Linked DNA regions of Macaca mulatta. The protein of the gene in region 1 purifies or fractionates together with the protein of each later gene. This does not show direct contact. Links are inferred from orthologs where the notes say so. Each region holds a gene or a part of one and is shown on either strand. Other genes may lie near its edges. The genes, in order: NPM1, GNL2 and RPS28.

Region 1 (10,888 bases):
TGAATGGACTTCTGTGACTGTTTTCCTAGCACAGTGTTTTCAAGTTTCGTCCATGTGAAAGCATTATCAGTACTCCATTTATTTTTATGGTTGAATACATTGTATGGGTATATTATTTGGTTATGCGTCAGTTGGTGAGCATTTGGGTTGCTTCTACTTGTTGACTGCTATGAACGCTTGTGGACATGTCATTTTTTTTGGGTGTACACCTAAAGCAGAGTGGCTGACCCATTGTATTCCCACTAGCAGTGTATGGGGCTTCTGATTTCACTACACCCTCACTTGCCATTATCTGACTCACTAATCCTGGTGGTATGAAGTGCTAGTTGTGGGTTTGATTGCATTTCAGACCTATGGACTATTATTAGTCTTTATTAGAGCATCTTTTCATGTATTCATTGGCCATATATCTTTGGAGAGATGTCTTTACCCATTTAAAAAATCCAGTTACTTCTCTTGGTCTTTACTGAGCTGTAAGAATTTTTTTTTTTCCTATGATTTTTGTATTTTTAGTAGGAGAAGGGGTTTCACTGTGTTGGCCAGGCTGTTGTTAAATGCCTGTCTTCAGTGATCCACCTCCCTCTGCCTCCCAAACTGCTGGGATTACAGCTGTGAGCCACTGTGCCCTGGCAAGAATTCTTTTTTTTAGACAAGTCTCTTTCTGTTGCCCAGGCTTGAGTGCAATGATGTGATCTTGGCTCTTGCTCACTGCAACCTCCTCCTCCCTTGTTCAAGCAGTTCCCCTGCTTCTTCCAAGGATTACAGGCATCCCCCGATCCCTTCCATGCCCGGCTAATTTTCTGTATTTTTAATAGAGACTGGGTTTCACCATGTTGGCCAGGCTGGTCTTGAACTCCTGATTTCAGGCCTGTCTCGGCCTCCCACAAGTGCTGGGATTACAGGCGTTGAGCCACTGCACCGGGCCTAAGAATTCTTTATACATTCTGCAAACAAGCACCTTATCAGACGCATGATTTGCAGATTATCTTCCACTATTCTGTGAATTGTCATTTAACTTTCATGATGGTGGCCTTTGACCCAAGTTTTAAATTTTTATGTCTGATTTCTTTTGTTGCTTGTGCCTTTGGTGTCAATCCTAAGAAATCATTGCTAAATTCAAAGTTGTGAAAATTTACCCCCTTAATTCTGAGTTTTGTCCTGTAGCTTTATTTAGCGCTTTGTTCCATTTTGAGTAAATATCTGTGTATGGTGTGAATGGAGGGGTCCAAATATAGACTTTGGGGTGTAGATGAGCAGTTTCCCCAAATGATTTGTTCCAAAACTTTTTTCCCCATTGAAGGATCTTGGCAACCTTTAAAAGAGTCACTTACGGCCCGGTACGGTGGCTCACGCCTGTAATCCCCGCACTTTGAGAGTCCCAGGCAGGTGGATCACGACCAGGAGATAGAGACTATCCTGGCCAATATGGTGAAACCCTGTCTCTACTAAAAATACAAATTTTAGCTGGGCATGGTAGCTTGTGTCTGTAGTACCACCTACTCAGGAGGCTGAGGCTGGAGAATTCGCTTGAACCTGGGGGGCAAAGGTTGTAGTGATTAGAGATTGCGCCACTGTACTCCAGCCTGTGACAGAGTGAGATTCCATCTCAAAAAACAAAAAAAAATCACTTACTATAAATATACGTATTTATTTATGGTCTGTTTGTTGATATATGTGTCTATCCTTAACAGGTAAGAACAGTTACAACACTGTTCCTTTGCAGTTTTTTTTTTTTTTTTTTTAAATGAGTCTCTCTCTGTCATCCAGGCTGGAAGCACAATGGTGCGATCTTGGCTTACTGCAACCTCCGCCTCCCGGGTCTTCCTGCTTCAGCTTCCTAAGTAGCTGGGATTACAGGTGCCCGCCACCACTCCTGGATAATTTTTGTATTTTTAGTAGAGACTGGGTTTCTCCCTGTTGGCCAGGCTGGTCTCAAAACTCCTGACCTCAGGTGATCCAGCTGCCTCGGCCTCCTAAAAAGTATTGGGATTACAAGCATCAGCCATGGTGCCTTGACCCCTTCGTAGGTCTTATAGCTGATTTTTTGAAATCAAGTGTGAGTTCTCTAGCTTTGTTCCTTTCAAGATTGCATTTGGCCTCTTTGGGTCCCTTAAGTGTCTTTTTTTGTTTTTGTTCTTTGAGATAGGGTCTTGCTCTGTCACCCAGGCTGGAGTGCAGTGGCAGAATTACACAGTTACAGTCTCAAGTAGATCCTTCTGCCTTAGCTTTTCAAGTAGCTGGGACTACAGGCACACACAACCACGTCTGCTAATTAAATTTTTTTTTTTTGTAGAGAGGGTTCTCATGTTGCCTAGGCTGGTCTCGAACTCAAATGAGATCCTCCCACCTCAGCCTCCCAAAGTGTTAGGATTATAGTTGTGACACACTGCCGACTCTTGGGTTTATATATAAATTTTAGGATCTATTTCTACAGAGAAACCAGCTTGGGGAGTCTTCTAAGGATTGTATTTAACCTGTGTATTTGGGGAGTGTTGCCATCTTGGCAATATCTGAACATGGAATGTTTCTATTTAGGTCTTTAGTTTTTTTTTTTTAAACATAAATTTACTCTATTTGAGTGTACAGTTTAACTGTACATTACTTAAATATACATATATTATACATTGGCATAGTGTATATTCATGCAAAACTACTTATTGAGCAGCTTTGTTTCCCAGCCCCTAGTGATCACAATTATACCTTCCATTTCTTTTGAGTTTGACTACTTTTGGATACTTAATGAATAGAATCATACAGTGTTTTTTTTGTGGGTGGCTTATTTTACTTTGTTCAAGGTTCAGTCATATAGCATGCAAGAGGATTTTCATCGTGTGTGCGTAAACATTTTCATTATTCAGCCATTTAACAGTTGGGTTGCTTTCATCTCTTGGCTGTTGTGAACAATGAATGCTTCGATTAACACGGTGCACAAATAATCACGTCAAGGTCCTGCTTTCAATTCTTGTGTCTACTCCCAAATTTTGAAAGTGCTTAATGTCTTGATGTTTCATTTGTAGTGATGATGATGATGATTTTGATGATGAGGAAGCTGAAGAAAAAGCACCAGTGAAGAAAGTGAGTAGATACAATGCTACAAGGTTGTTAAACTAACAATAGAAATAGTAATTTTTTAGTGCTATTTGCTTGTTTTGTAGTTGAGGGAAGCTGGTGTGGGAGATCATCTCATACTGAAAATTAGTTCTGAGGAGGACTACAGAAAACTTATAGTGGGGAATGGTCTGTTTTCTTTATCCATGTAGCCCTCCACCCAATTTGTTAGTCTTGTGTAACCTTTTATTCAAGTGGTTGCTGCTTTTTCTTTTCTTTTTTTCTTTTTTTTTTTTTGAGACGGAGTCTGTCACCCAGACTGGAGTACAGTGGCGCAATCTCGGCTCACTGCAACCTCTGCCTCCCGGGTTGAAGTGATTCTCCTGCCTCAGCCTCCTGAGTAGCTGGAATTACAGACTCAGGCCACCACACCCAGCTAATTTTTGCATTTTTAGTAGAGATGGAGTTTCACCATGTTGGCCAGGCAGGTCTTGAACTCCTGACCTCATGATCTACTTGCCTCGGCCTCCCAAAGTCCTGGGATTACAGGCGTGAGCCACTGCGCCCAGCCTGTGGTTGCTGCTTTTCTTACATGGCTTGGACAGTACTGTTTGCACTGTTGCTGGGGTCAGGGACAGTGATTAAGATAAATTTCTAATTGCAGTCTATACGAGATACTCCAGCCAAAAATGCACAAAAGTCAAATCAGAATGGAAAAGACTCAAAACCATCATCAACACCAAGATCAAAAGTAAGTGGTTACATTTACATATGGGTCTCATTGATACAGTCGGGGAAAAAAGATTCTACTGTTGTGGAAGAATCTAGTGTGTCTGAAATTTCATAGGCCTTTATAGAACCCCTGTAATTGCTGTTTTAAAGTTTAAATCAGCTTGCTGCAGCCGGGCGCAGTGGCTTACTCCTGTAATCCCAGCACTTTGGGAGGGAGGCTAAGGTTGGTGGGATCACCTGAGGTCAGGAGTTTGAGACTAGCCTGGCCAACAACGTGAAACCCTGTCCTTACTAAAAACACAAAAATTAGCCAGGCATGGTGGTATGTTCCTGTAATTCCACCTACTCAGGAGGCGGAGGTTGCAGTGATTGTACCACTGCACTCCAGCTTGGGCGAAAGAGTCAGACTCTGCCTCCAAAAAAAAAAAAAAAAATCAGCTTGTTATGTGTTATAGGTACACACAGACAAACATACTAAGTAATGTGCTGCTGGGGTTCCAGTGGCGGGGGGAACCAATGGACTTTTTTGAGAGAGACGGACCCTCGCTTTGTCAGTGAGTCTGGGTTAGAGCTGCATGATCTCGGCTTGCTGCAACTTTCACTTCCTGGGTTCAAGCGATTCTCCTCCCTCAGCTTCTCAAGTAGCTAGGACTACACGTGTGTGCCACCAGGCCCAGCTTATTTTTGTATTTTTGAGTAGAGGTCGGGTTTCACTATATACGTTGGCCAGGCTGGTCTTGAACTCCTGACTGCAGGTGATCTGCCCTCCTGGGCCTCCCAGAGTGCTGAGATTATAGGCGTGAGCCACCACGCCTGGCTTGAATTTTTTATGATTGTGAAGTCAATAGTTGTTTCCTGTAAGGAATCTTTGTTGAAAAGTATACCTGCATAGAGTAGAGATTCTCAACCTTGGCTGCACATTAGATTGAAGTAGAACATTTAGGGCCAGACAGGGTGTGATGGTCTCCTTTCTGGCCTTACCCCCTTCCCTGCAGAAAATGGAATTTAAAGGAGAAAAACTTTAAAAGAACCCAACACTGTGCTCTGCTTATGGAGATTATCATGAAATTGGTCTGGGGTGGGCCCCAGGCATCAGACTGCAATGACTTTCTTGCTTTATTCTTAGGGATCTTCTGATTTCATTTTTTGAACTGAGTATTGTGCATTAAAAAGTGAACTCCCAAGTTACTCCTTTTTTTTTTTTTTTTTTTTTTTTTTTAAAAAAAAGACGGGTGTCCTACTCTTGCCCAGTTGGGAGTACAGTGGTATGATCATAGCTCTCTCTACAGCCTCCAGCTGCTGGGCTCAAGCAATCTTCCCGCTTTAGCCTCCTGAGTAGCTGGGATTATAGGCATATGCACCACCATGCCTAGCTAATCTTACAAGAAAGATTTTTAAGAACAAAATTGTATGGTGTGAATTTATTGATAATTCCAGTTGTATAATTAGCTTTATAAGGGAGTTTTGTAAGACTATTTGAGGAAATCCAGATAGAATGGGTTTTAAATTAGGAGTTGTATTTATTCTTATGACCTTTTGGAAGTTCATTTCCTTTTCAGGGACAAGAATCCTTCAAAAAACAGGAAAAAACTCCTAAAACACCAAAAGGACCTAGTTCTGTAGAAGACATTAAAGCAAAAATGCAAGCAAGTATAGAAAAAGTGAGTAAAGTTATTTAAAAAAAAACTTTCTCCCTGCTCAAATTGCATGTGTCTAGTTTGCGTAGACTTGAATGTTTCTTGTTTTTTTTGTTTTGGTTTAATGTACTTGCCCTGTTCGTGGTATGAATTTTTTTAAAAATGAATTATAAAACATTTATAATCGTGTCTATGGTGATTTGCATATGCAAAATTAAATATGCCTTATTTTCCATTATAAAAGGAATGTAGTGCACTGGTTGCAAGATAACATTCTGACCTTCCATGTTAAAATAGATCAGTGAGAACCCTTGACCTATTCTGGTTGTAAGATATGCTAGAGAACCAACAGAGGGCGTATGAGACTTCATTAAAATTGCAAACAGCTGGAAAAGTAGACTGTTTGGTTGGTATTATAGTTAAATATTCATGATTGACCCTAGTCAGAAGTAATTTTCAGCAGATTGAGACATTTCTGTTTGCCCTTTACACCAAGTTGTCACCAGTTAAATACGTGTAGTAATAGATTTTGTGAATGACTAATAGGTTTAAATCTAGTTTCCTTTTGTCTTAAATAATGGAAATGTGGGAAGACGATTAGGTCTCTTGTCTGATTGACTTGAGTAGGATATGAAATAAATGGTTTAAATGCCTTGGAAGCACATTTGAGAGAAGCTTTAATTCAATGAACAATACTTTTAGACTGCAATTATTGAGAACAAATGTGGGGTGGTAAGGAAAAATTGCCAACTCATTTCCCCATGTTTTTCCTGTACTCTATAGATTTTTTGTTGGCTTGTGTAGATTTCCTTGTACAGTGATAAGTCCACTGGAAAAAAAATTTTAGAACTGGAACATATTTCTTGTTTTAGTCACACTGGAAACCCTTTAGCCTTCCTGCTTATCAGATTTTTGTCCCTTGGATACAATGCTGAAATGACATATTTTAGATTCCCCTCCCCTCCATTTTAATATGGTCCTATCTCCTTGGTTTAATTGCAGGCGCATTGAACAGCCCTGGGCACTACATGTAAATTAAGCCCAAAGATGGGGAGAAAGGAAAAGGAGAGACAAATATAGTCCATACTGAGTGTCATCAACAATCCAGACTGAAGTCTTCTATTTTAATCTCAATCCCCTTTTCTGATTTGCCACCCATGCCTCTTCAGGCTGGAAACAATCTCACTCTTGGTTCCCTAAAGCACTTTCTTCTGACTGCTGTGATTCAGTGAACCTTGCCCTTTGCTTTCTATTACTTGTGCATTTGCCTCACCTCTGACAATGTTTTAAATCGCCTTTGTATCTCCTTAGCTGCTCAATAAATATTTGAATGAATCAATTAAGAATGTATGTGACAATAATTTTGAAATGGAAATTGAGGTTTATTTTACTAGGTTATTGGAGGCAGTTAAGTTTCTTAATGCTATACTTGATTCTGCCAAGGTCCCTTGGACATTTGAAAACCTTTTCAATCTTTTAAAAATGCATAAAAGATACTTAGAGGGAAAGGTATTAAATTTAATAAAAACAGATATATTCAGTGCTTTAAGGTAATTCCAAAGTAGTGATAAATAAACATTTCAAGATATTTGCAATAGTAATGTTTTGAAATTTTGGTGACAAAAAGTTACAGGTATCGCCAACACTGTTGTAGTTTCTTGCCTATATCCATAATTTGAAGGAAAATGGTAAGAGTGATTAGTGAAGTGTAATTACTGTAATTTCTCCCCCATTGTAGTTTCTTGCATATATCCGTAATTTGAAGGAAATGGTAAGAGTGATTAGTGAAATGTAATTACTGTAATTTTTTCCCCATTCAACTTTATATATCTTTAACTGATGACCAGATCATTGTTGTTCTGAACTGGTTTGTGATCAACAAGTGTTTTGTGGGGTTTTGTTTTTTTTTAAACAACAGTTTGGGTCACTTGACATGGTTCTCCAAAGGAGTGTTACAGGTTGTGTTTGGTTCTGGGTGATAAAACCGGCTTGTTAGATAATACAGATAAGCAACCGAGTTGCCATGTCATGTTTGTCTGTAGAATCTCAAGTGTAGCTTTTATTTTATGTTCCTAGAGAGGTCGTCTGGGAAGATTTGACCCTTTGGCAAATCTGTTTGAATAGAGATACTAGCCATGCTGCCCAATAGGGCTTTCTGGCCCTGAAAAAGACATTGAGTATTCTTGGAAAGTTGAAGGGAAAAGGAGTAAACTGCTCTATGTAGTAGCATTGCAGATTATTGAGGAATTTTCTAAAGGTATCTCTCTCAGTGTATTTCTCTACTTACCTGTAATAATGCTTTTGTCTCAATAGGGTGGTTCTCTTCCCAAAGTGGAAGCCAAGTTCATCAATTATGTGAAGAATTGCTTCCGGATGACTGACCAAGAGGTAACTGAATTTTCTGGGGACAAGATGAAGTCCAAGTTTTTCGTGATTTATTATGATTCTGCCTTTACCCTTTTTAAGTGTTGGCTCTTTTTAAAAAGTTCCTAGCCACAGATAATTCATTTAATGAAATAATCTGAAAATTCATGTATTTAATGAAATACATGAAGAATACAGTTGGCAGTCTGAGACGATAACTTTAGTATATTTTTTCCAAATTTCCTATAGTTGGCAAATTATTTCTTGGTTATTGAATTCAGTTTTACTTTTTTGGTACTATTTTGGCTAAGGAAATTGCTGTGGTTTTCCTTGTTGCTCCATTTGGCGGCTTGGGGCAGTCTGGTCTTTGCTTTTTTGGGAGTTGGTAGAGATCTTTTTTTTTTTTTTTTCCATAGATCTTATGGGAAATACATTTTGCCAAAATCATCCTAACGTGAAACCTGGAAGCAAGACACTAAATTGTGGCTACTACTAGATATATAAGCTTGAGTTTAGCTGTTAGATTTTACAATTAGTACGAAAGTCTTCGTCAACATACAGTTTATGCATTTATTTTTGCTCTTATTTACAGTTGACTTTTTTTTGTTTTTTTTTTTTTTTTTGAGACGGAGTCTCGCTGTGTCTCCCAGGCTGGAGTGCAGTGGCGTGATCTCGGCTCACTGCAAGCTCCGCCTCCCGGGTTCACGCCATTCTCCCGCCTCAGCCTCCCAAGTAGCTTGAGACTACAGGCGCCCGCCACCACGCCCGGCTAGTTTTTTGTATTTTTAGTAGAGACGGGGTTTCACCATGTTAGCCAGGATAGTCTCGATCTCCTGACCTCGTGATCCACCCGCCTCAGCCTCCCAAAGTGCTGGGATTACAGGCTTGAGCCACCGCGCCCGGCCTTACAGTTGACTTATAAGTGTAAGGAAAATGTAAAAGTGGTTAAATAGGGACGTTAGGTAGGTATCGTGTAGAGAACCGATGGCTGCATTTAATGGTTTTTAGGTTTCCTGTAGTCAGCTTTTTTCAGAAAATTTGGCAATTAGCTGGTTTTTTTCTGCCATAATATTTAGCAGGTCAGTTATTTTAATTGCACCTTAATTTTTAGTTTTTGGGTTTGTAAAACCCTGATTTGGTTAATTTTGACTTGAGCTTTGCTAAAGTTGCAGTGATGGGCTTTAAGATGATCAGATTCAGTCTTTGATTTGGTTAATTTTGACTTGAGCTTTGCTAAAGTTGCAGTGATGGGCTTTAAGATGATCAGATTCAGTCTTTTGGTTGCTATTCTGTTTTTTCTCTACATTTGAATCCCAAAGTTTAAAGTGTGAGTTTTGGGAGTTTATTTGGCATACTAAACATTGATTGAGCATAAGTTATTTTGAAACTTTATACAACAGGTTATTTTGAAGCATTATGCAACAGGTTATTTAATATTGAAAATAGTGGAAAGTCAGACATAAATAACCAATATGTACTAACAAGTAAGCATAAGAGATGCATTTCTTCAAGTACAGCCAAGGAAAGTGATAATTTAATGATTAAGTTGCAGTGGTCGTCTGTACTTTATAACAAAGGCTTGTAGCTACAAAGTTTTGTAGCTATTAAATTACTGAACCAGCACTTCTACCAGAAGTATTTTGTTTTTAAAAGTATTTTTGCCCAGGTTGGTCTTGAACTCCTGGCCTCAAGCAGTCCTCCCAAGTTGGCCTCCCAAAGTGCTAGGATTACAGGCACGAGCCACCTTGCCCAGCCTACCAGAAGTATTATCTTGCTCTAGAATTGAAAGTATTCTCGTGTCAGAATGAAATTTCTGCAATAAATAGTAAATGTTTAATAACTTGAATTACTATTAGAGATTATCAAAACTAAATGCTTCCCGTCTTTGACATAGAGATGCAAGATGCAAGCAGTGACAATGTATATTTGTTTGAACCTGATGATGAGAAGATCTTTGGCTGGGCGTGGTAGTTCATGCCTATAATCCCAGCACTTTGGGAAGCAGCATGGCAAAACTCCGTCTCTACTAAAAATAATAAATTTAGCTGGGCATGGTGGCGTGTACCTGTAATCCCACCCACTCAAGAGGCTGAGGCAGGAGGATCGCTTGAACCTGGGAGGCAGAGGTTGCAGTGAGTGCCACTGCACTCCATCCTGGGTGGCAGAGTGAGAGTCCATCTCAACAAAAAAAGATTTCTATGATATTTAATATTGGCATTCAGTATTCAGTTATCTTGTACCTGAGAACCCATTGGCTGTGAAACAGTGACAGCTGAGAGAATCCTGTCATCTCATTTTCTAGTTTTTGGTGAACTTCTGGATTTTTATTCAGAACCACCTCGCCATGTTGGCCAGGCTGGTCTTGAACTCCTGACCTCAGGTGATCCACCATCTCGGCCTCCTGAAGTGCTGGGATTACAGGCGTGAGCCACCATGTCTGGCCAGCTGTTTTTTGTTTGCTTTTTGTTTTTGGGTTTGCTTTGGTCACCCGTCTGTAGTGTGATCTTGGCTCACTGCAACCTCTGCCTCTTGGGCTCAGGCAACCCTCCCTCCTCAGCCTCCTGAGTAGCTGGGCCTCATGTAGTTGCACACCACCATGCCCAGCTAATTTTTGCGTTTTTAGTAGACAGGGTTTCACCATGTTGCCAAGGCTGGTCTCGAATTCCTGAGCTGAAGTGATCTGCCCACCTCAGTCTCCCAAAGTGTAGGGATTACAGGCGTGAGCCACCATGCCTAGCTTCAGCAGATAGCTTTTTCTAAATGTACACATGCACAGGCAATTCAGAATACGTTTCTGGTGTTTAACTTTATTTGCTAAATCTGGCCAACTCTAAAGCTGATCTCAGGGAAGATGAAGTTAGAAGTAACATTGGCCAAATGGGTCTCTGGTCTTTTTATTTCCTTAAGTAAATAAACTATTAAATATTAGTATATTCATATTATTTTTATGACTGATTAAAGTATTAGGAATTAAATTATATCTGAGTATAAATTTTCTTGGAGTCATTTCTTTATCTAGAGTTAACCTATTTGGTGGTAGAATGAAAAATAGATGTTGAACTATGCAAAGAGGCATTTAATTTATTGATGTCTGTGAAGTGTTGTGG
Region 2 (10,888 bases), on another chromosome or scaffold:
CACAGTACGAAGGGTCACCAGATAAAATACAGAACGTACAGTTACATTTGGATTTCAGGCAAACGATGAATACTTTTTTAGTGTAAGTATTTTCCAGGCACTATTGGAGGTGTACTAAAGAAATGTATTCCTTTTTTTCCGCTGAAATTCTAATTTAATTTGGTGTCCTGTATTTCTATTTGCTAATTCTTGCAGGCCTACCAATAGGTGATATTTGAGCTGAGGATTGAATGACCACCTATGCAAAGATTCTGGGAAAGAGTGATTCAGGCAGAGAGAATATCCAGTGTAAATGTCAGAATAACCAGAGGGAGGGAGGTACACATGAGATCAGATAAATAGGCAGAGGCCAGATCACAGAATCCTGCAGGGATGGCAAAAAGTTTGAATCAATCTCTGTCTCTCTCTGTTTCTCCCTTCCCCTTTCCCCTACCTGTCATTCTAAGAGTGATGATAAGCCGCTGGAATTGTAAGGAAGAGGATGACACCTTCTAATGGATATTTGGCTGCTGTGTGGTCGGCAACTTTTGGAAGGACTTAGAAGACAAATTCAGAAGACAAACTTAAGCTTGTGTCATTGGCAGGGGAAGAGGCTTCTTTATTTGGAGGTGGACCCAACTGGGAGCTCTGGGCCACGCGTTCAGGGTAACTAGGCGGTTGCTATGGAGGGGCAGCTTGGCGGTTGCTAGGGCTGGAGCGGGCTGGGGCTCCACGCAGGGCGACGCCTGGGTGGCTAGGGCGGGGGAGGAGCCAGGCCGATAGTGGCGCGCGTTCACAGGAAGTCGCTCTGGGGCAGGGAGGGGCGCGAGCGGAAGTGACGTAGGTCGTGCACACGTGGTCCGGCGTGGTTCACGCGGGTCGCTTCGGCCGGGCCTGGGTAGATCTAAATTTGTTTCCCCACGTAAGCCGGACCTCGCACTCCGGTCCCGGTCTCGTCGCCAAGATGGTGAAGCCCAAGTACAAAGGACGGAGCACCATCAACCCGTCCAAGGCCAGCACAAACCCGGGTACAGGCGGCAGGGCTGATCGAGGGTGGAGCTTGGAGGAAGTATAGGGAAGGGCTCCGAGGACTGGAGGAGGAGGGTTACTTGGGTGGCATTGCTTAGAATGACTATGAGCGGGGTGGCTGTTGGGGATGAAAAGGGAAAAAGGAAAGCAATATTTGTGATGGTTTCTTCTCAGGGGGGCACTGAGGAGGGCTGACATTGCACGCCTGGCAGGCCAAAGTGTAGTCAACTGGTCTAAAGTCAGGGAAAGTGAACACTCAGGCTGGCAGCCTCGGGTCCTCTCCAGTTGAGAGATGCAGAGAAAGTCAGCTTGAAAATGGGTAATCGGGCCTTTTACACGTGATCATATTTGCCGGTCACCTTAACTTTGACCTTTAAAATGAGAAAGGGATTGTAGTTTTTGCCCTTGGAATTATTCTATCTGGTAAAGTGCTTAGAGAACCCTACAAAGAAGTCAATATGATCATTGCAGTAAGGCTGTTTTGGAGATGTGTGTAAGTTTTGGCGAAGTTCCACCTGTAGGATTAACAAGACATCCTGTGGGAGAGTTCTTTCCATTCAAGTTTAATTAATAAAACTTTGTTTTAAAATATGATTTAGAATTTTTGACAATTTTAATGCATGTTGAATGTTTACTCCGGATTGATAATAAATTATTCACTTTGCACAAACTGGAATCTCAGAATGTTAGACCCCAAAAGTCCCTTAGAGATTATGATTTTACAGGTAAAGAGACTGAATCAAAATGCAGGAAGTGGCTTGTCATAACTGCAACAGTTAGTGAGCAGTAGTAGAGCCGCCAGTCTCTACTGTTAGAGAGTAGGAGAGCCAATGGGCTGTGGTTTCAGTCTGTCTTCTACTGCATCACTTCAGGACCAGACAGGTAATTTAAAGGGCTCCCAGTTGGGTGTGGGCTCAGGCCTGTAATCCCAGCACTTTGAGAGGCCGAGGCGGGCGGATCACCTGAGGTCAGGAGTTCAAGACCAGCCTGACCAACATGGTGAAACCCCCTCTCTACAAAAATAGAAAAATTAGCCGGGCATGATGGCGGATGCCTGTAATCCCAGCTACTCGGGAGGCTGAGGCAGGAGAATCGCATGAACCGGGGAGGCGGAAGTTGTAGTGGGCTGAGATCGCAACACTGCACTCCAACCTGGGTGAAAGAGCAAGACTCCGTTTCGGGAAGAATAAATAAATAAATGGCTCCCAAAATGAGAAGCTAGGCTAGTATTACCCTGCTCGTTTGTTCTTCTCTTTCTCTTTGAGATGTAAGGCAAGAATTGCTGTGTTGAATAAACAAAAAATCAAACATTAAGAAACTGGAACACATATATATCAAAATTATAGTCTCCATGGTGCCTTGCATGGAGGAGGCACCCCATATTTGTTAAATGGAGGCACAGAGGTAGGTATCTTCGTGGTTAAGACCACAGATGTGATAAAATGATCGTGTTCAAATTCTGGCACTGCCATTTAGTAACGGTTTGACCTTGGGCAAGGTGTCTGACCACTGTGCCTCAGTTTCTCACTCTGCAGCATGGAGATAATATATCTATAGGATTATTGTATGGATTAAATGAGATGATGCCTATAATGTGGATAGCCATCATAAGTGCTCAAAAATATTAGCTGTTCTTCTTCTCAAATACAATCCTATCGAAGATCAAAGGTTGGGTCAGCTTTGTCATACCATATAGCTTCAAGTAATAATTATTGGAACAACATGGAGAAAGTAGAGATTTTTGTGGTTGGTGGTTTCTTACCTAATTTGGGTGAACTACTTGTTGCATTTTAAGCAATGACTTGTTGGTTATACTGGTTGGTTATCAAATAGTGCACTGTGTACTTCTGCCTTTTGTAGATCGAGTGCAGGGAGCAGGAGGCCAAAACATGAGGGACCGGGCCACCATCCGGCGCCTGAATATGTATAGGCAAAAGGAGCGCAGGTGAGCATTGGGTGCTGTCATCCTTTCTCTTTTCCTTCATGCCCTTGACCGCTAGCTGAGACTGATTAAGCCTTTGCTGTTCTCACCCCCACTTCCTCCAAATAAGAGTTATATATTCTCGAATATAATTGTATATGAATGTTGTTAGGATAAATGGTTAATTTTTGGTTAAGGGCATGGGTAGCTGGTGGTGAAATAGTGATGGTTTCACAGTACTCAAAAGTAGAGGTCTTGTTTCTCACAGCCCTGACCTTCACAAATGGCGCATTAAATCTCAGCGTTAAATACGGCCAGATATAACAAAACCTACAGGACTATGGGTAGGAAAGCCACCAGAAAATGTGTTTTTTAATGCCAAAATGTAGATCACAACATTGTGGCACTTGGACACTCATCACAACTCCGAGTTCTGCTGAGGTAGCCTCTACCACAGGGATTTGCTGAGTGTGGCATTCCGCTAGCTGGTCTTAGTTTGTTTGGTAATTAGATTCTCCGTCTCTGTCTGTTCTAGAAGATGTGACTAAAATACAAATGTCAATTAACTTATTATGCGTTAGTCATCTACTTTGCAGTTTGTTTTAGAATTTGGAATCCCAGCGTAAATCACCCTCTACTTGAACAATTCATCTAAAACAGCCTTCGAATAGTTACCAAAAAAACTCAAGTATGTGTTTTTTTTTTTTTTTAAAGTAAACAGTAAACAGATTTTTTAAAACGTCACCGTTGTTATTCATCTAGCAGAAATCATTACGTGCTCTGTTGCAAGAGGTTAAATGGCTTTTGGGCAATCTGTTTCAAATGTAGGAGTACTTTGTGTTTACTGGAATTGGTATTTCATGATTGTTTAAAACCAAAGTAAGAAGTCCTTTTGATGGAAAATATATTCTGTAAATCAAACTTTGCTGTTGCCATTCTTCTGTTGTCAACCAATATCTGTTCTTTCCTCAATTTAGGAACAGTCATGGTAAAATAATTAAACCCCTGCAATATCAGTCAACGGTGGCTTCTGGCACAGTAGCAAGAGTAGAGCCAAATATTAAATGGTTTGGTGAGTATTATCCCCTGCTACTTTGCTCTACAAAATGTATGCTGAATGGAAACGGCTAGGATGTTTAAATATCTAAACGATAGGAGTTTTTGGTGAGTGGAACTGTCAAGGATTATCTGAGAAAGGGATAAGAAAAAGTACTGGGAAAAGTAGTGGTGGTAGATTTAATAAATAACTTCTTTTTGAAGAGCGCTCACCATTAGTAATTGTAATTGAACCCTCTTAAGCAGATAAGACCGTCCTTAATGACTAGGATTCACAGACCTTAGAATGCTCATCTTGATCTTTTATGCTTGCCTGGAGAGATACTGTTTGAGAGGTGGCCTTGTAGGTGTTTGTGCATATATCCTTCAGGGTAAGTGCATTAGCCCAGAGTTCCTCTGAAACACTTCTTAATGGAGTTTTTATTTGAACTTGGGTGACAATTAAAGAGTCTCACTGTTGAACTTTCCAACAGTGAATAGAGTATCTTCAGTCACAGGGTGATCACGGCTTCTTCCTTGGGAAACTCCCTGTTCCATTTCAGTCTGGGCTTTTAACTTTGCCCTTAGCCACTGGTAATGTATGGGCACTTTAGATGATCAGACCCCAGTGTTTGCTTGGTGTTTGACCTCTGTCCTTGGGGGCAGATGGCAGCTACCTTTGAGTCTCTTATACTTTTGGTAGGATACTTCCTAGGAGCTGCAACACAGAAAGGTGTCAAAGAAAACTCTGCAGAGAAGCATTTAGCATGGCTGCCGGGTACTGTGACTCCAGATTAGACTGCCTGGGTTTGAATTCTAGTTCTGTCATTTATGTGCAAGTTATTAAGTCTGTCTGTTCATCAGTTTTCTCATCCCTAACAGAGAATAAGATGAAACCTATCTCACAGGACTGTCGTGGTAATCAAATGAGTAAATACAAGCAAGGCACAGTGGCTCATGCCTGTAATCCCAGCATTTTGGGAGGCCAAGGCTGGTGATTCACTTGAGGTCAGGAGTTCGAGACCAGCCTGGCCAACACGGTGAAACCCCCATCTCTACTGAATATACAAAAATTAGCCAGGCATTGTGGTGGGCACCTGTAATCCCAGCTACTTGGGAGGCTGAGGCAGGAGAATCCCTTGAGCCTGGGAGGCAGAGGTTGCAGTGAGCTGAGATTGTGCCGCTGCACTCCAGCCTGGGTGACAGAGTAAGACTCTGTCTCAAAAAAAAAAAAAAGTAAATACATATAAAGTGCTTAGAATAGTACCTAGCAAATAGTGAGTATAATATAAGCATTCCTTGCTACCATCATTACCACCTTGCTGTTTTGCATTCATGCTGCAGCATGCTGTTTAATTGAATGCTTTTCAGGATCTCCCTCACAAGGTGTTTTCCAGGTGGAACAAGCAGGGCTCTGTCTTGTTCCCTTGCATGGATTCATTGGTTAATGAATCATTAACCAATTGATTAACCAATTGAGGTCCCTTTGGATCCTCATAACCCTAAAAGTGGTAACTATGACTCAGGTTTCAGTGTTTCAAGATTCTCTGTCTATACTGACTGATCAGCTGTGATTGGCTCCAAGTTTCTCTGCCAGATCTAGCAGGAAGTAGGACATTTGTCAGATCTCAGTTCCATTCCACGCTATTTATTTCTCAGTTTCATTTAGTCAGGAAACGGCTTGGAAAACTATTGAAACCCTTTGTGGGTCTGGGTTGGTGGAATAGTTCATAGTGTGCAAGTGCAGGAGAGGCAGTTTTTTGGGTTTTTTTCCTCTTTTAAGTTTGGAAATAGCTCCAAGGGATGGATGGATCAGGTACTTGGGTGAGTGAGGGTAATTTAAAATCTTGCCTTTCACCGTGTCAGTGGAAGATGAATGTGCAAATATGTATTAAGTGGCAACATTCTTTATTTGTAAAACAGGAAACACACGTGTGATTAAGCAGTCATCATTACAAAAATTTCAAGAGGAAATGGATACAGTTATGAAGGATCCATACAAAGTTGTCATGAAGCAAAGCAAGTTACCAATGTCTCTTCTCCATGATCGAATCCGGCCTCATGTAAGATGTAGGATATCCCTGGCGATGGAATTTCCTGGGCAGACTCCTTGCAGCTCCCTCTCTAACATATTTGTCTTTTGTTTTTCTTAGAAAATAGCAATTTCAGTGTAGCAATGATGAACTTCCTAAGACCTCTGTTTTCATCTTTTCACGTTTAGTATGAAGTATGGTAGTGTAGTGGATCAAAGCACAGGTTTTGGAGTTGAGACCTGAATTTTAATCCTTGCTCTATCCGTTCCTGTACCCTTAGTTGGGTTTCTCTATGAACTTGAACTTCTTTGCTTTGAAAGTATAAATAGGCTGGGCGCAGTGGCTCACACCTGTAAATTGGGAGGCCCAGGCGGGCGGATCACTTGAGGTGAGGAGTTTGAGACCAGCCTGACCAATGAGAGGAAACCCCATCTCTACTAAAAATACAAAATTAGCCAGGCATGGTGGTGCATGCCTGTAATCTCAGCTACTCGGGAGGCTGAGGCAGGAGAATTGCTTGAACCCGGGAGGCGGAGATTGCAGTGAACCAAGATCGTGCCATTGCACTCCAGCCTGGGCAACAGGAGCGAAACTGTCTAAAAAGAAAAAGAAAGTATAGATAACCCACCTCCTTGGGTTATTGGCTACAGATGAAACATCTGTAAAGCACTTGGTCCGTAGTAAGCACATAGCACACCACCTAATAAGAGCTAAATTGATAACAGATATTAGTAATATTATTTATTATTATTTATTTTGGTAGGCAAACTTGTTTTAAGTGGTAATTCCATCAAACATTGGGACAGCGTAGAATTAGGATTGAGTTGGTAGAACTTTGGTGTTGGGTACGTTCAGCTTTTGTAAGATCCTTGAGATTTCTTCTCAGCTGAAGGAAGGGGTGCTGGTCTCATTGGTTGTCAATTGCTGAAGTTTGAAGTACGGTAAGGATTCAATCTGGGTTGAATGGAATGAGTTTCACACAGAACAAAGAAAGAGTCTGATGTTTGTCTGCTCATTTTTACTTGCATTGAATAATAATTCCCAGAAATATAACCATTACGTAAGCTTCAGTTCCGATATGAGGAGGGGAGAAAAACATTGACATGCGTACGTGGGTTAAATAGTTCAAAGAAAAGTGTTTACTTGCAGAACAAAATAAAAACTAAGGCCTGGTTATTGCCTCAGGTTTTGTCAGTTATGTTTTGTTTTATGATGGACTAGAAGAATGGCACCTATTAGTGGAATGACTGTTTTCTTTCAGGGGAACACATGAGTGTAATTCATGAACCACAGACAAGTTGCTCATTTCCCTTGTTCTCTTTGTCTGTTCTCCCTAAAGCCATCTTTTAAGCAACTATTGAATCTTGTTTATGAGAAGAACAGAGAGGCTCTATCATGGATTTATTGCTTTGTTGCCTGTTCTTGTCAGCGCTTCTAAAATTTAGTGTTTAAGTATCTGGTATGTAGAATGAAGGGTCTACAGTTGCACCAGTCAGCTTCTTTGTTGATGCAGAAAGCTACTCAGAGTAATTGATGCGTTTTCTGCTTTGGTCTTGAAAAACCTTACCTATTTTATTTTAGTATGATATCTATTACTTATAAAATCTAATTCTGAGATTATTTTGCACAGTGGAGTTAGATCAGATATGCATATTCATCTATATGTGTTTTAGAACTACTGTATTTCTGTAGCAATACAGTAAGAGTACTGTAACTTTGCATATGTACTTTATTATATACTGTATATTACTGTATTATACTTATTAATGTGTAGATTTATAGGCAAAGCCTTGTGTGCTGTAACTTATAGGTTAAGAGATTTTGAAGATAATTTTGGTCACACTTGATTTTACCCAGTGACATTAGAACCTGTTTCTCATGTAAAATGAGCTGCTTCTGTTTGGGGATGCTCCCGAGTGGAACATAGTGACTAAAACTAAACTGAGTTGTGGGTTAGAGCATCTGAGAAAATGAAAATAGTTTAAGGATCTTTAGAAGTTGGAAGAGGGGATCCGTTAAAGTTCAGAAGCCATGGGGGCTGCTCCATCATCCTCACAGCTTTTGGTAGTGGTGCTTACAGAGGAGCTTGTGCTAGGGGGAAAAGGGTGATTTTCTTCTTTTTTCTTTTTTGATATTGTCTGCCGGCTGTTAACATTCTGTTATGTGATAGATCCTAACTCAAACTTTGACTTTTATCTTGCTTCAGAAATTCTTATGCCTGTAACTCCTTTACAGGCACATCAAGTTCTAGTTAGTATCAGGTTCCTTTTATCACATCTAAACTATTATTTTGGGCTTTGGCTAGATGTTTTTCATCTGAAGACTTGCCATGTGCATTTAATAAAAACGTTACCTAAATTAGGGAAAATGTTATCTGAAACTAAAATGCATCTTACAAAACAAACAATTCCTTTTAGCCATGAAAGAAATTAACTTCCAAGAAAAAGTTGGCATTTACAGTTGGTTTAAAAAAACCTCACAAATTTGAGTATGATTGTCCTTGATAAAATCTATGAATTTGGCAAATTTTATGCACTTGTTTGAAAGCTAAAAAAAATGGTGGAAAAGATTAGTTAATTTTCATCGCTGTAGCCTTAATTACATTTGACTAAAGTTTATGATAAATGAAATAAAGCAGAGTTTTTGGGAAGTTTTTGCACAACTATTCATATTTACTTTATTTGTATTACTTTTGTATCTCTCCAAGGAAGCTTACAGAACTTCGGAATAAGGGTACCAGTGTTTGTGCCATTTCAACAAGTATTTCTGATTTGAAACCAGACTGAAACCATGTTTTTATAGATTTGGGTATGGGTTGAACCTTGGAAAAATAAAATCAGAAAGTCTTTCCTAGGTGGGTGTTTAGCTTTTCGCTTTTCCTCAGTGCTTTTCTTAATTTTACCTGTTATTCTTGTTTCTCTTCAGAAATCGAAGGTCCACATTCTTGAAACTGAAAGTTTTGAAACTACATTTGGCCCTAAGTCACAGAGGAAGCGACCAAACTTATTTGCAAGTGATATGCAGTCTCTTATCGAAAATGCTGAGATGTCCACTGAGAGCTATGACCAGGGCAAGGATCGTGATTTGGTAACTGAAGACACTGGTGTGAGGTAGTTTCTTTGTTTGTTTGTTTGTTCGTTTGTTTGTTTTTTGAGACAGAGTCTCGCTCTATTGCCCAGGCTGGGGTGCAGTGGCACAATCTCGGCTCACTGCAAGCTCCACCTCCCTGGTTCATGCCATTCCCCTGCCTCAGCCTCCCGAGTAGCTGGGACTGCAGGTGCCCACCACCACGCCTGGCCAATTTTTTGTATTTTTAGTAGAGACAGGGTTTCACCGTGTTAGCCAGGATGGTCTCAATCTTCTGACCTTGTGATCCGCCCACCTCAGCCCCCAAAGTGCTGGGATTATAGCATGAGCCACTGCGCCTGGCCTTTTTTTTTTTTTTTGGTGGATAGAGTCTCGCTCTGTTGCCCAGGCTGGAATGCAGTGGCACGATCTCGGCCCGCTGCAACCTCTGCCTCCCAGGTTCAAGCAATTCACCTGCCTCAGCCTGCCTCCATGCCCGGCTAATTTTTTGTATTTTAGTAGAGACAAGGTTTCACCGTGTTGCCCAGGCTGGTCTTGAACTCGTGAGCTCAGTCAGTCCACCCACCTCGGCCTCCTAAAGTGCTAGGATTACAGGTGTGAGCCACCGCGCCTGGCCGAGGTACAGTTTTGAAGTTCATGCAAGTCTCATCATTTGCTCTTCTGCCACAAAACATTTTCTTTCAAGTTATTTTGCCTGTGTGAAGCTCAGTGCTTTAATTTATATATGGAGCTGTCTTCTTCCCTCAGGCTAGAGACATTGGTGAAATTGGGGCTAGACTGAAGATGTCTAATGCGGCTTGATAAAGGTCTCTCTTCATTCCCAAAATAAATAAGATTTTCTTCATTTATAATCGTAATACACCAGTCATAGACAAATTAGGAAATATAGTTAAGTTGGAAAATGCAACACAAAGAACATAACTCATAACCCCATTGCAGATATTAAGCATTGTTAATGCCTCCGTGAATATGCGGGGCTTCCTTAACTGGAAGACTCTGAGTTCATGAATGGCCTTTAAGGTTTCTTTGACTCTTTGAAGAAAATGTGGAAAATTTGTGAGCATACGTAAAGGCGGTGGAGTTTTGTCTTTTTGTTTGTTTGTTTTGGGGAGGAGAAGAGGAAGTGTCTATAACTTTCATCATATTCTTGTAGGGATCCATACTCAAAAGAAGAATCAGTCACTAGCTGGCTGCAGTGGCTTACCTGTAATACTAGTTTTCTGGGAGGCCAAGGCAGGAAGATCACTTGAGCACAGGAGTTTGAGACCAGCCTAGGCAACATAGCGAGACCTTGTCTCTACAAAAAATAAAAACTTGGCTGGGCATAGTGATGTACCTGTAGTCCCAGCTACCCAGAAGGCTGAGGTGGGAGGATCACTGGAGCCCAGGAGTTTGAGGCTGCAGTAAGCTGTGATTGTTAGGAATACGTTTCTATGTCAGTACATAATCAACAATAATATAATATTTATTGTCAGAGTGGTATTTTGTTTGTTATGGCCAGTATCATTGTTGGACATTTATACTGTGTATAGTTTTTCCTTATGGTGAACAACACAAGGGTGAAGCATCAATGTGACCACATCTCTTTCATCCTTAATTATTCCCCAAAGATAAATTCTTACGGAGCAAATCGTGGTATCAAAAGGTATGCATGTTTTTTGATAGGCAGCTGCCACATTGCTCTTGAGAAAGGTTTAATTTCATTTCCCTTGGGTAGTGCTAGAAAGCTCTCATTCTCCATCTATCTCATGTCTCTTAAATGAAGTGAAGGTTTTGCTGTCTTAGTGAAGAGGCATTGTACTTT
Region 3 (10,022 bases), on another chromosome or scaffold:
CTTGAGTGATTCTCTTGCTTCAGCCTCCCAAGTAGCTGGGATTACAGGTGTGCACCATCACTCCCGGCTAATTTTTGTATTTTCTTTCTTGCTTATTATTTATGAGACAGGGTCTCACTTTGTCACCCAGGCTGGAGTGCACTGGTGCGATCTCAGCTTAATGAAGCTTCTTTGACCTCGCAGGTTCAAGAGATCCTTCTGCCTCAGCCCTTCAAGTAGCTGGGACTACGGGCACACGCCACCACACCCGGCTAATTTTTGTATTTTTTTGTAGAGATGGGGTTTCACCGTGCTGCTCAGGCTGGTCTTGAACTTCTGGGCTCAAACAATACACCCACCTCGGCCTCCCAAAGTGCTGGGATTACAAGCAAGAGCCACAGCGCCCCTAACTTTTGTATTTCAGTAGAAGCAGGGTTTCGCCACGTTGGCCAGGCTGGTCTTGATCTCCTGACCCCTAGTGTTCTGCTCACCTCGGCCTCCCAAAGTGCTGGGATTATAGGCGTGAGCTACCATACCCAGCCTAAAAATTTTTTAATGAGACAGGGTCTCGCTGTGTTACTCAAACAGGTCTAGAACTCAAGCAATCCTCACACCTCAGCTTCCCGAATCACTGGGATTACAGGCACACACCACCGCGCCTGGCCTATTCACAGAGTTCTAAGTACCGAGCAGGCCCTGCCTGGCCTCATCACCTCTCAGATCTCAGCACACTGCAAGTCTAGCATCCCTGTTTTACACAGGAAGAAACCAAGGCTCAAGAAGGCGGAGACTGCCCACACCGTGAGTCGTCTGTAGAACCCAGACCCCAGTGGGAATCCAGGCAAACTGGTTTGAAATCCTGCTTCTGCTGCCGGGCGTGGTGGCTCACACCTGTAATCCCAGCACTTTGGGAGGCTGAGGCGGGCGGATCACAAGGTCAGGAGATCGATTCCATGGTAAAACCCCATCTCTACTAAAAATAAAAAATTAGCCGGATGCGGCAGAGGGTGCCTGTATCCCAGCTACTCGGGAGGCTGAGGCAGGAGAATGGCGTGAACCCAGGTGGCGGAGCTTGCAGTGAGCTGAGATCGTGCCACTGCACTCCAGCCTCGGCGACAGCACGAGACTCTGTCTCAAAAAAAAAAAAAAAAAAGAAATCCTGCTTCTGCTTACCGCTGCCTGTGTGACCCAGGCCAGTCACTTGGTTTCTGTGAGCCTCGATTTCCTCTTCTTCTTTTTTTTTTTTGAGACGGAGTCATGCTCTGTCGCCCAGGCTGGAGTGCAGTGGCCGGATCTCAGCTCACTGCAAGCTCCGCCTCCCGGGTTCACGCCATTCTCCTGCCTCAGCCTCCCAAGTAGCTGGGACTACAGGCGCCCGCCACTTCGCCCGGCTAGTTTTTTGTATTTTTTAGTAGAGACGGGGTTTCACCGTGTTAGCCAGGATGGTCTCGATCTCCTGACCTCGTGATCCGCCCGTCTCGGCCTCCCAAAGTGCTGGGATTACAGGCTTGAGCCACCGTGCCCGGCCGATTTCCTCTTCTGCAAGAGGGGCCATCACCATCTAACTGGTGGAGTTATTAGGAGGTAGGCAGGACACTGACTCTGTGCCAGGCTCCCTTCTAAGAGTTTACAAATATTAATTATGAGGACTAACCCTCATAACAGCTTTCTGAAGTAGATACTATTAGAGTCCCCATTTAATTAAGAGAAGGCACCTGAAACCAGGGACCAAACTAGTTTTGGAGAGGAATCCAAGGGTTATACAACTCCCTCTCTGAGAATAGTACATGGCCAGGCGCGGTGGCTAACGCCTGTAATTCCAGCACTTTGGGAGGCCAAGACCAGGAGATCACATGAGGTCAGGAGTTCAAGACCAGCTGACCAACATGGTGAAACCCCAACTCTACTAAAAATACAAAATTAGCCTGGCATGGTGGCACGCGCCTGTAATCCCAGCTACTTGGGAGGCTGAGGCAGGAGAATTGCTTGATCCTAGGAGGTGGAGGTTGCAGCGAGCCAAAATCGCACCACCGCATTCCAGCCTGTGCAACAAGAGTGTGACACTGTTTCAAAATAAATAAATAAAATAGGCTGGGCGCGGTGGCTCAAGCCTGTAATCCCAGCACTTTGGGAGGCCGAGACGGGCGGATCACAAAGTCAGGAGATTGAGACCATCCTGGCTAACATGGTGAAACCCCGTCTCTACTAAAAATACAAAAAACTAGCCGGGCGAGGTGGCGGGCGCCTGTAGTCCCAGCTACTCGGGAGGCTGAGGCAGGAGAATGGCGTAAACCCAGGAGGCGGAGCTTGCAGTGAGCTGAGATCCAGCCACTGCACTCCAGCCTGGGCGACAGAGCAAGACTCCGTCTCAAAAAAAAAAAAAAAAAAAACACAAAATAAATAAATAAAATAAGAATTCATAGTTACATAAACAGTAATGTCTCAGCTTTTCACAGGGCCCTTGGAGGGACCCCGGAACTTCATGTTTTGTAGGATGCCCAGTCCTGGCTGAGGTGCTAACTTCTACCCTCCACTGGGTTGGACTAAATGAGCTCTTCCTGAGCATGGTGACTCTCACCTGTAGTCCCAGCTACTCGGGAGGCCAAGGCAGGAGGATCGCTTGAGCCCAGGAGTTTGAGAACAGCCTGGGCAACAGAGCACGACCCCATCTCTACAAAACATTTAAAAATTAACCCAGCATGAAGGCCGGGTACAGTGGCTCACACTTGTAATTCCAGTACTTTGGGAGGCCAAGGCAGGCGGATCACGAGGTCAGGAGATCGAGACCATCCTGGCTAACATGGTGAAATCCCATCTCTACTAAAAATATAAAAACTTAGCCAGGCGTGGTGGTGGGCAACTGTAGTCCCAGCTACATGAGAGGATGAGGCAGGAGAATGGCGTCAACCTGGGAGGCAGAGCTTGCAGTGAGCCGAGATCATGCCACTGCACTCCAGCCTGGGCAACATGGCAAGACTCTGTCTCAAAAAAAAAAACAAAAAACAAAAAAAACAGGCCAGGCACGGTGGCTCACGCCTTTAATCCCAGCACTTTCGGAGGCTGAACTGGGTGGATCATGAGGTCAGGAGTTCAAGACCAGGCTGGCCAAGATGGTGAAACCCCATCTCCACTGAAAATACAAAAATTAGCTGGGCGTGGTGGTGGGCACCTGTAATCCCAGCTACTCGGGAGGCTGAGGCAGGAGAATCACTTGAACCTGGGAAGCGGAGGCTGCAGTGAGCCAAGATCACGCCACTGCACTCCAGCCTGGGCAACCGAGTGAGACTCTGTCTCAAAAAAAAAATTAACCCAGCAAGGTGGTATTAATCTGTAATACCAATTACTGGGGAGGCCAAGGAAGGAGGGGAGGATCACTTCAGCCCAGGAGTTCAAGGCTGCAGTGAGCAATGATCGCGTCATTGCACTTCATCCTGGGCGACAGAGCAAGACTCTGTCTCTAAAAACAAGCAAATGAGCTCTCGGACAAAAAGCTCCCAGCAGCACCGTTCCTGATGCAATTGATGCTTACTGAGTAGGATCTTGACAAGCACCCTTCCCACAAGTTGGGGAAAGAGAGTGGGTTGCAGGAGGGGGCCGTGGGGGCTGTGGTGAGCTAACGGTGGAGATCCTCACCTCTCTGCTGGCTTGCCTGGCACCAGCGCCTTCTGCGAGGACATGATGACGGAAGGGGGCACAGATTCCCGGCGGCCATCGCGAGTGCAATAGTAATTATTGGAGAGCTTGTGGTTAGGACCCACAGGGAGCTTGGGAGGAGGCTGAGTTCTGAGGGGAAAAAACAGCAGCATTGAAGCAAAGGGACAGTCACTGTCATGGCCCTGCTGTGGGTCCCTGTCACTTCGGTCACAAAATGTAGGATCTACAGCCAGCCACTGGGATAGGCCACAGGCTGGGGGTGTCCCTTGGTACACTGGCAGGGACATATGCCTGGGGAGGGGTCCTGGGGCCAGAAGCAGATGGCAGCCCCTGCTCTGGATGTGACGATGCCAGGGACCCCACCAGTCCCGAATGTGATGGGTACAGAGGACCTTTTCTGAGGTTCCCAAGGCCCAGGACATGTTCCCACGCCCCCCACCCCACGGCTGGGCTTGGCAGCCAGCCTCACCTGATTTAGCCCACTCTGAGTGGCTCTTTCCCCTAAGGCCAGGCTCTGGACGCCCTGCGTTTCCTGTTATCTCAGGAAGTCTCTGAAGAACCCTGCTAGGATCAAGGCCCATTACTCAAAGAACACCTTGGCCTTGGAACCTGTCCAGATCTCTGCATTTCCTGCCACCATGTGGCCAGGCAACTCCTCTCTGGAGCCCAGAGAGGGGTGAACAGAGCTCGGTCTTGGGTTGAACTAAACCCTGGGCTGGATTTACCTGGAAGCCTGAGGCCTTAAAAGAAATGCTCAAGCCGGGCGCGGTGGCTCAAGCCTGTAATCCCAGCACTTTGGGAGGCCGAGGTGGGCGGATCACGAGGTCAGGAGATCGAGACCATCCTGACTAACACGGTGAAACCCCGTCTCTACTAAAAAATACAAAAAAACTAGCCGGGCGAGGTGGCAGGCGCCTGTAGTCCCAGCTACTAGGGAGGCTGAGGCAGGAGAATGGCGTAAACCTGGGAGGCAGAGCTTGCAGTGAGCTGAGATCCGGCCACTGCACTCCAGCCTGGGCGACAGAGCGAGACTCCGTCTCAAAAACAAAAAACAAAACAAAAGAAATGCTCAAAACAAGGATGGGCACGGTGGCTCATGCCTGTAATCCCAGCACTTTGGGAGGCCAAGGTGGGTGGATCACTTGAGGTAAGGAGTTCGAAACCAGCCTGGCCAACATTGCAAACCCCCATCGCTACTAAAATACAAAAATTAGCCAAGCATGGTGGTAGCAGGCAGAGGTTGCAGTGAGCTGAGATCACCCCACTACACTCCAGCCTGGGCGACAGAGTAAGACTCCATCTCAAAAACAAAAAAAAAAGCTCAAAACAAAAGAGGGGCTTTCCAGAGAGAGGGGGCAGAGAAGAGCAAAAACCGTAAATTGATCTGTTTCTACTTAGCCATGTTTCTAAATTACTTTTTTGTCTGGGAACTGTTTTGCCAGAATTAAATTTTTTTCTGAGGCAGTGATCATACGCACTGCAGCCTGGATGATATATGCAATCATATGATTGCTTGAGGCGTGATCATAGCTCAGTGCAGCCTCAATCTCCTGGGCTCAAGCAATGCTCCCACCTCAGCCTCTCAAGCAGCTGGAACTACAGGTGCACACCACCACATCCAGCTCATTTTTCTCAAGTAGCTGGAACTACAAGTACACACTACCACATCTGGCTAATTTTTCTATTGTGTTTGTGGAGTTGGGGGTCTTGCTATGTTGCCCAGGTTGATGTCGAATTCCTGGCCTTAAGTTATCCTCTCTCACCTTGGCCTCCCAAAGTGTTGGGATTACAGGCGTGAGCCACCAATCATTGTATTTTTTAAAAATAAGAAACATAAAGTAAAAAATGTTTAATATTAAAAGCAATATATTACGTGAAAGACTTTGCTTAAGGAGGCTGGATGTGGTGGTTCATACCTTGGGAGGCCAAGGTGGAAGGATTGCTTGAGGCCAGGGGTGGTTTTTTTTGTTTTGTTTTGTTTTTTTGTTTTGAGATGGAGTCTTGCTCTGTCGCCAGGCTGGAGTACAGTGGTGCGATCTCGGCTCACTGCAACCTCTGCCTCCCAAGTTCAAGCGATTCTCCTGCCTCAGCCTCCCAAGTAGTTGGGACTACAGGCGAGCGCCACCATGTCAGCTAATTTTTGTTTTTTTTTTTGAGACGGAGTCTTGCTCTGTCACCCAGGCTGGAGTGCAGTGGCACGATCTCGGCTCACTGCAAGCTCCGCCTCCTGGGTTCACGCCATTCTCCTGCCTCAGCCTCCCGAGTAGCTGGGACTACAGGCGCCCGCCACCACGCCTGGCTAATTTTTTGTGTTTTTAGTAGAGACGGGGTTTCACTGTGTTAGTCAGCATGATCTCGATCTCCTGACCTCGTGATCCGCCCGCCTCGGCCTCCCAAAGTGCTGGGATTACAGGCGTGAGCCACCGCGCCCAGCTTAATTTTTGTATTTTTAATAGAGACAGGGTTTCACTATGTTGGCCAGGCTGTTCTCAAACTCCTGACCTTGTGATCCGCCTGCCTCAGCCTCCCAAAGTGCTGGGATTACAAGCATGAGCCACTGTGCCTGGCCAGAGGCCAGGAGTTTAAGACCAGATTGGGCAACATGATAAGACTTTCTCTATAAAAAATTTTAAAAATTAGCCAGGTACGGTAACATGTGACTGTAGTCCCAGTTACTTGGAAGGCTGGAACAGGAGGATCACTTATGCCTGGGAGTTCGAGGCTGCAGTGAGCTATGATTGTGCCGCTGCACTCCAGCCTGGGTGACAGAGACTCAATCTCAAAAAACAAAAACAAACATCCAGATGAATCACTAGAGGGCGCCGTCATCCTAAAAAAGTCAAAACTTTCACAAAGCCATTTCCTCAACTGGCCCACAACTACCCTGATAGAAAACCAACTGGGGGATTGTGGGGGCGGCGGGGACAGCATCAGGAAGAATAGCTAATGGATGCCGGGCTTAATACCTAAGTGATAAGTTGATTTTTGCAGCAAACTACCATGGCACATGTTTACCTTTGTAACGAAACTGCAAATGTACCCCAAAAGTTAACATTAAAGTTGAAAACAAAAAAAATTTGATACTTCTAATATTTGGAATTAGTCACAACATGTAGGCATTCACATAAATTTGGTTATTTTAATGCTATTTTTCTTCCTTTCATTATAATCCTCAATGACTGCCTTACCTCTGCCTATCCCTTTGACTTCACAGACTATACCATTATCCCTTTCCCTCAATGGGTTCCATCCATACTGGCCTCCTTCCTACTCAGGCTCTGTCCAGCCTGACAGTCTTAGCCCTTCCTGTTCCCTCTGCTCAGAATGTTTTTTCTTTTCTTTTTTTTTTTTTTTTTTTTGTAATTTTTTTGAGGCAGAGTTTTGTTCTGTCGCCCAGGCTGGAGTGCAGTAGTGCGTTCTCAGCTCACTGCAACCTCCACCTCCCAGGTTCAAGCGATTCTCCTGCCTCAACCTCCCAAGTAGCTGCGACTACCGGTGCTCGCCACCATGTCCGGCTAACTTTTGTATTTTTCCCGAAGAGGGGGTTTCACTATGTTTCACTGCGTTGGCCAGGCTGATCTCAAACTCCTGACCTCGTGATCTGCCTGCCTCGGCCTCCCAAAGTGCTGGGATCATAGGCATGAGCCACCGTGCCCGGCCAGAATGCTTTTTTAATAATTATTCTTTGAATGGGTCCTTCCCATCATTCAGGCGACTTAACTGTCATTCCCGAAGAAAGATCTTTCCCAATCATCTGACTTTACGTGGCCACCCTCCAGCTTCCACTCATTTTGTTTTGTTTTCAAAGTATTCCAGAACAATACTATCTGCTGTGTTTGTTTCCCTACTAAGCTTCTCCCTAGGATGTGGTGTCCATGAAAGGAATGTGGATAAGAACTTTCCTGGTTCACAAAGTTAAACCCAAGGCTGAGGTCATACATGACAGGGGCTTGTAAATATCAACTAATATTTTAATATAAATGAGTCTGAAATCAGGACACTTCTGGGTTCAAGTCCCCGCTGCCACTTTCTAGCTTCTGAGTGACTTCAGGCAAATGATTTAGCTTCTCTGGACCTCTTTTTTCATCTGTAGCTTGGGGATAACACTGACTAACATGGTCACACTGAGCACTGCAAATCTAGCCTGATTCCCACTCAGAATGCACGCCCGGCCTCGCTGTTCCAGGAGGGCTGTCTCCGGAGTTCAGCAAGGTTAAAGGCAAACCTCTGCCTCCACAGCCTGGCAGGGGACTGGTGGCAGGATATCAGTCCTGCGTTTCAGGGGTCTAAAGGAACATAGATTTTGTTTTTGGTGGAGAAAGGACAGAGCCAGAGGCTGGGCAGCGAGCGGGGCCTGCTCACCGCTTGGAGATCTCCTGGTAGCGCAGCTGCAGCTTCCCCTGCAGGTCTTGCTGTGGGAAGAGGAAAGGGGAGGTCGGCCTGCAAGGCACCCCAATAGAAAGGAAAGGACAGGGCGAGAGACCAGGGATGGCCCGGGGATGCGCATTTTGAGGGAAGGCAGGGGATGAACACTCGGGGAAAGGGATGTGGGTCCTGCAGGTGAAGAGGAAAGCCGGGGTCCGGGCCCACAAGATCCAAAGCTAAGAAGGTCGGGGACTGGGGAAATCCCAGGCCTGAGTGGTTCCCAGGAGAGGAGAGGGTCCCGGGCTAAAGGGGTCACGAGTTGGGGGTTCCTAGGGAGATTCGGGGACAGCGAAGGGTCCCGGTTTAGGAGGGAGGTGAGGAGCAGGAGCGGGTCCAGAAACACGGAGCCCGAAGCCCCCCATGGTACGGCCTTGTCCGCCCCGCGCACCCCAGACGCCCAGTTCCGCAGCCGCTGGATGAGACGGGTGGCGGACGCCATCTTCCGTCCGAAATGCTGAAGGGCGCCGCCAGTGACGTCTCCACCGCAGGGGCTGCTGGGAAAGACGCGGTGTGGTCTCGCGAGACAGGAGTAGGCGGGGCTAGGATGTCCTATAAAGTCTCTCGACGAAGCACGTGACTTCTCTCCGCCAGACAGCCGCTGTGCCGCCATCATGGACACCAGCCGTGTGCAGCCTATCAAGCTCGCCAGGGTGAGGTGGGGGCCCGAATTTGGGGGCAGGGGAAGGGAGTGGAGGAGCCGAACGGGCCAGGTCTGAACCCAGCTTCTTTCCTCCAGGTCACTAAGGTCCTGGGCAGGACCGGCTCTCAGGGACAGTGCACGCAGGTAATCGGGTGGGGGCATTTGGCCGACTGCCGGGGACCTAAACCGCTACCCTGTCCTAATCCCTGCCAGCCGGAATCCGGGAACCGATGCTCATTTCATCCCAGGGTTCTGATGGTTCCCTTTAACGATCTGTGTTTTGGGCCCTACACGTTCTCTGAATTCGTATCTCCTTCCCACTTCGCGGTGCCTTTCCGCGGCTCGCCCTAACTTCTTCCTCCCCTCCCTGGTGGGGACCCGTAGGTGCGCGTGGAATTCATGGACGACACGAGCCGCTCTATCATCCGCAATGTGAAAGGCCCCGTGCGCGAGGGCGACGTGCTCACCCTGTTGGAGTCAGAGCGAGAAGCCCGGAGGTTGCGCTGAGCTTGCCTGCTCGCTGGTGGGTGCAGAGGACACCCCTTTGATAAACCCTTGGTTGGTGGTAGGGAGGCTTCGTTAAGCCCAGGGTGAGAGGGTTTGGGAAGCACAGTCTACAGAGACTGACCAGAGGGAGGCGGGAGTTTGCCAATTGCTGCAGGGCCTGTCAGCATCTCATGTTTGGTTCTGTTTACAGGGTCTTGGATGTTGGGTTCGACCACTTGGCCGATGGGATTGGTGTGTCACAATCTGCTCCTTTATTTTTTGCCCGCCACGCGGAATTGAGATGCTCCTTTAAATAAAGCGTTTGTGTTTCAAGTTAACTTGGGTTCTTGTCTGGGTTATGCGACTAGGGTTTCTCTAGTTTTCTTGAGTGGTTCCCAGGTGGTCACCGATCCTCCTCACTCAGGACATCCTGGCCGTGGGGTCTTGCCAAACGAAGCTTTTCTTTTTTGAGGTGGGGGGGTCGTATTTGTATATGTGCACCCTCTACCCCGAACAAAACACAAGCGTAGTAGGAATGTTTTATTAGCAAAGAAGTTTCAGAGAGTGGGTGAAACAGGGCTATATCACTCCTTGGTCCCCACCTCATTTTGGTGGGGCCAGGGTGAGCCCCTTCCTGTCACAGTCACCCCAACTGAAATTGCCTTTCTCTTCGGCCAGTGTTAGCCTCTGAGCAGAGGACCCTGGACCATTCTGTGCGCCAAACACTGAGCTGACTGAGGAGGAGATCTCCCCACAGCTAGGTGTAGTGAGCCAGACGGGGCAGCTCACTGAACCTGGGGGTTCTCTCCATTGTCGCTGCATTCTCCTTCACCAGGTG

The links.
Region 2: the proteins of NPM1 (region 1) and GNL2 purify together in Homo sapiens (affinity purification with mass spectrometry; 3 studies listed by BioGRID and IntAct, counting the BioPlex papers as one, with this or other methods). This does not show direct contact. The link is inferred for Macaca mulatta from reciprocal best matches to the Homo sapiens genes NPM1 and GNL2.
Region 3: the proteins of NPM1 (region 1) and RPS28 purify together in Homo sapiens (affinity purification with mass spectrometry; 3 studies listed by BioGRID and IntAct, with this or other methods). This does not show direct contact. The link is inferred for Macaca mulatta from reciprocal best matches to the Homo sapiens genes NPM1 and RPS28.

What each region holds. Positions count from the first base shown.
Region 1 is NC_133411.1:180,256,552-180,267,439, forward strand, and holds part of NPM1 (nucleophosmin), read left to right. Parts: intron 1-3,017; coding exon 3,018-3,075; intron 3,076-3,712; coding exon 3,713-3,799; intron 3,800-5,323; exon of another isoform or gene 5,324-5,339; coding exon 5,340-5,441; intron 5,442-6,419; exon of another isoform or gene 6,420-7,730; coding exon 7,731-7,805; intron 7,806-10,888. UniProt on the Homo sapiens protein: Involved in diverse cellular processes such as ribosome biogenesis, centrosome duplication, protein chaperoning, histone assembly, cell proliferation, and regulation of tumor suppressors p53/TP53 and ARF.
Region 2 is NC_133406.1:203,200,552-203,211,439, forward strand, and holds the start of GNL2 (nucleolar GTP-binding protein 2), read left to right. Parts: upstream 1-819; 5' UTR 820-943; coding exon 944-1,007; intron 1,008-2,868; coding exon 2,869-2,953; intron 2,954-3,906; coding exon 3,907-4,001; intron 4,002-5,887; coding exon 5,888-6,027; intron 6,028-8,922; coding exon 8,923-9,107; intron 9,108-10,888. UniProt on the Homo sapiens protein: GTPase that associates with pre-60S ribosomal subunits in the nucleolus and is required for their nuclear export and maturation.
Region 3 is NC_133424.1:9,162,685-9,172,706, forward strand, and holds RPS28 (small ribosomal subunit protein eS28), read left to right. Parts: upstream 1-8,640; 5' UTR 8,641-8,669; coding exon 8,670-8,708; intron 8,709-8,794; coding exon 8,795-8,842; intron 8,843-9,082; coding exon 9,083-9,205; 3' UTR 9,206-9,221; intron 9,222-9,395; 3' UTR 9,396-9,522; downstream 9,523-10,022. Other genes in the region: NDUFA7 (NADH dehydrogenase [ubiquinone] 1 alpha subcomplex subunit 7), read right to left, coding at 3,613-3,762, 7,996-8,045, 8,447-8,497. UniProt on the Homo sapiens protein: Component of the small ribosomal subunit. The ribosome is a large ribonucleoprotein complex responsible for the synthesis of proteins in the cell. Part of the small subunit (SSU) processome, first precursor of the small eukaryotic ribosomal subunit.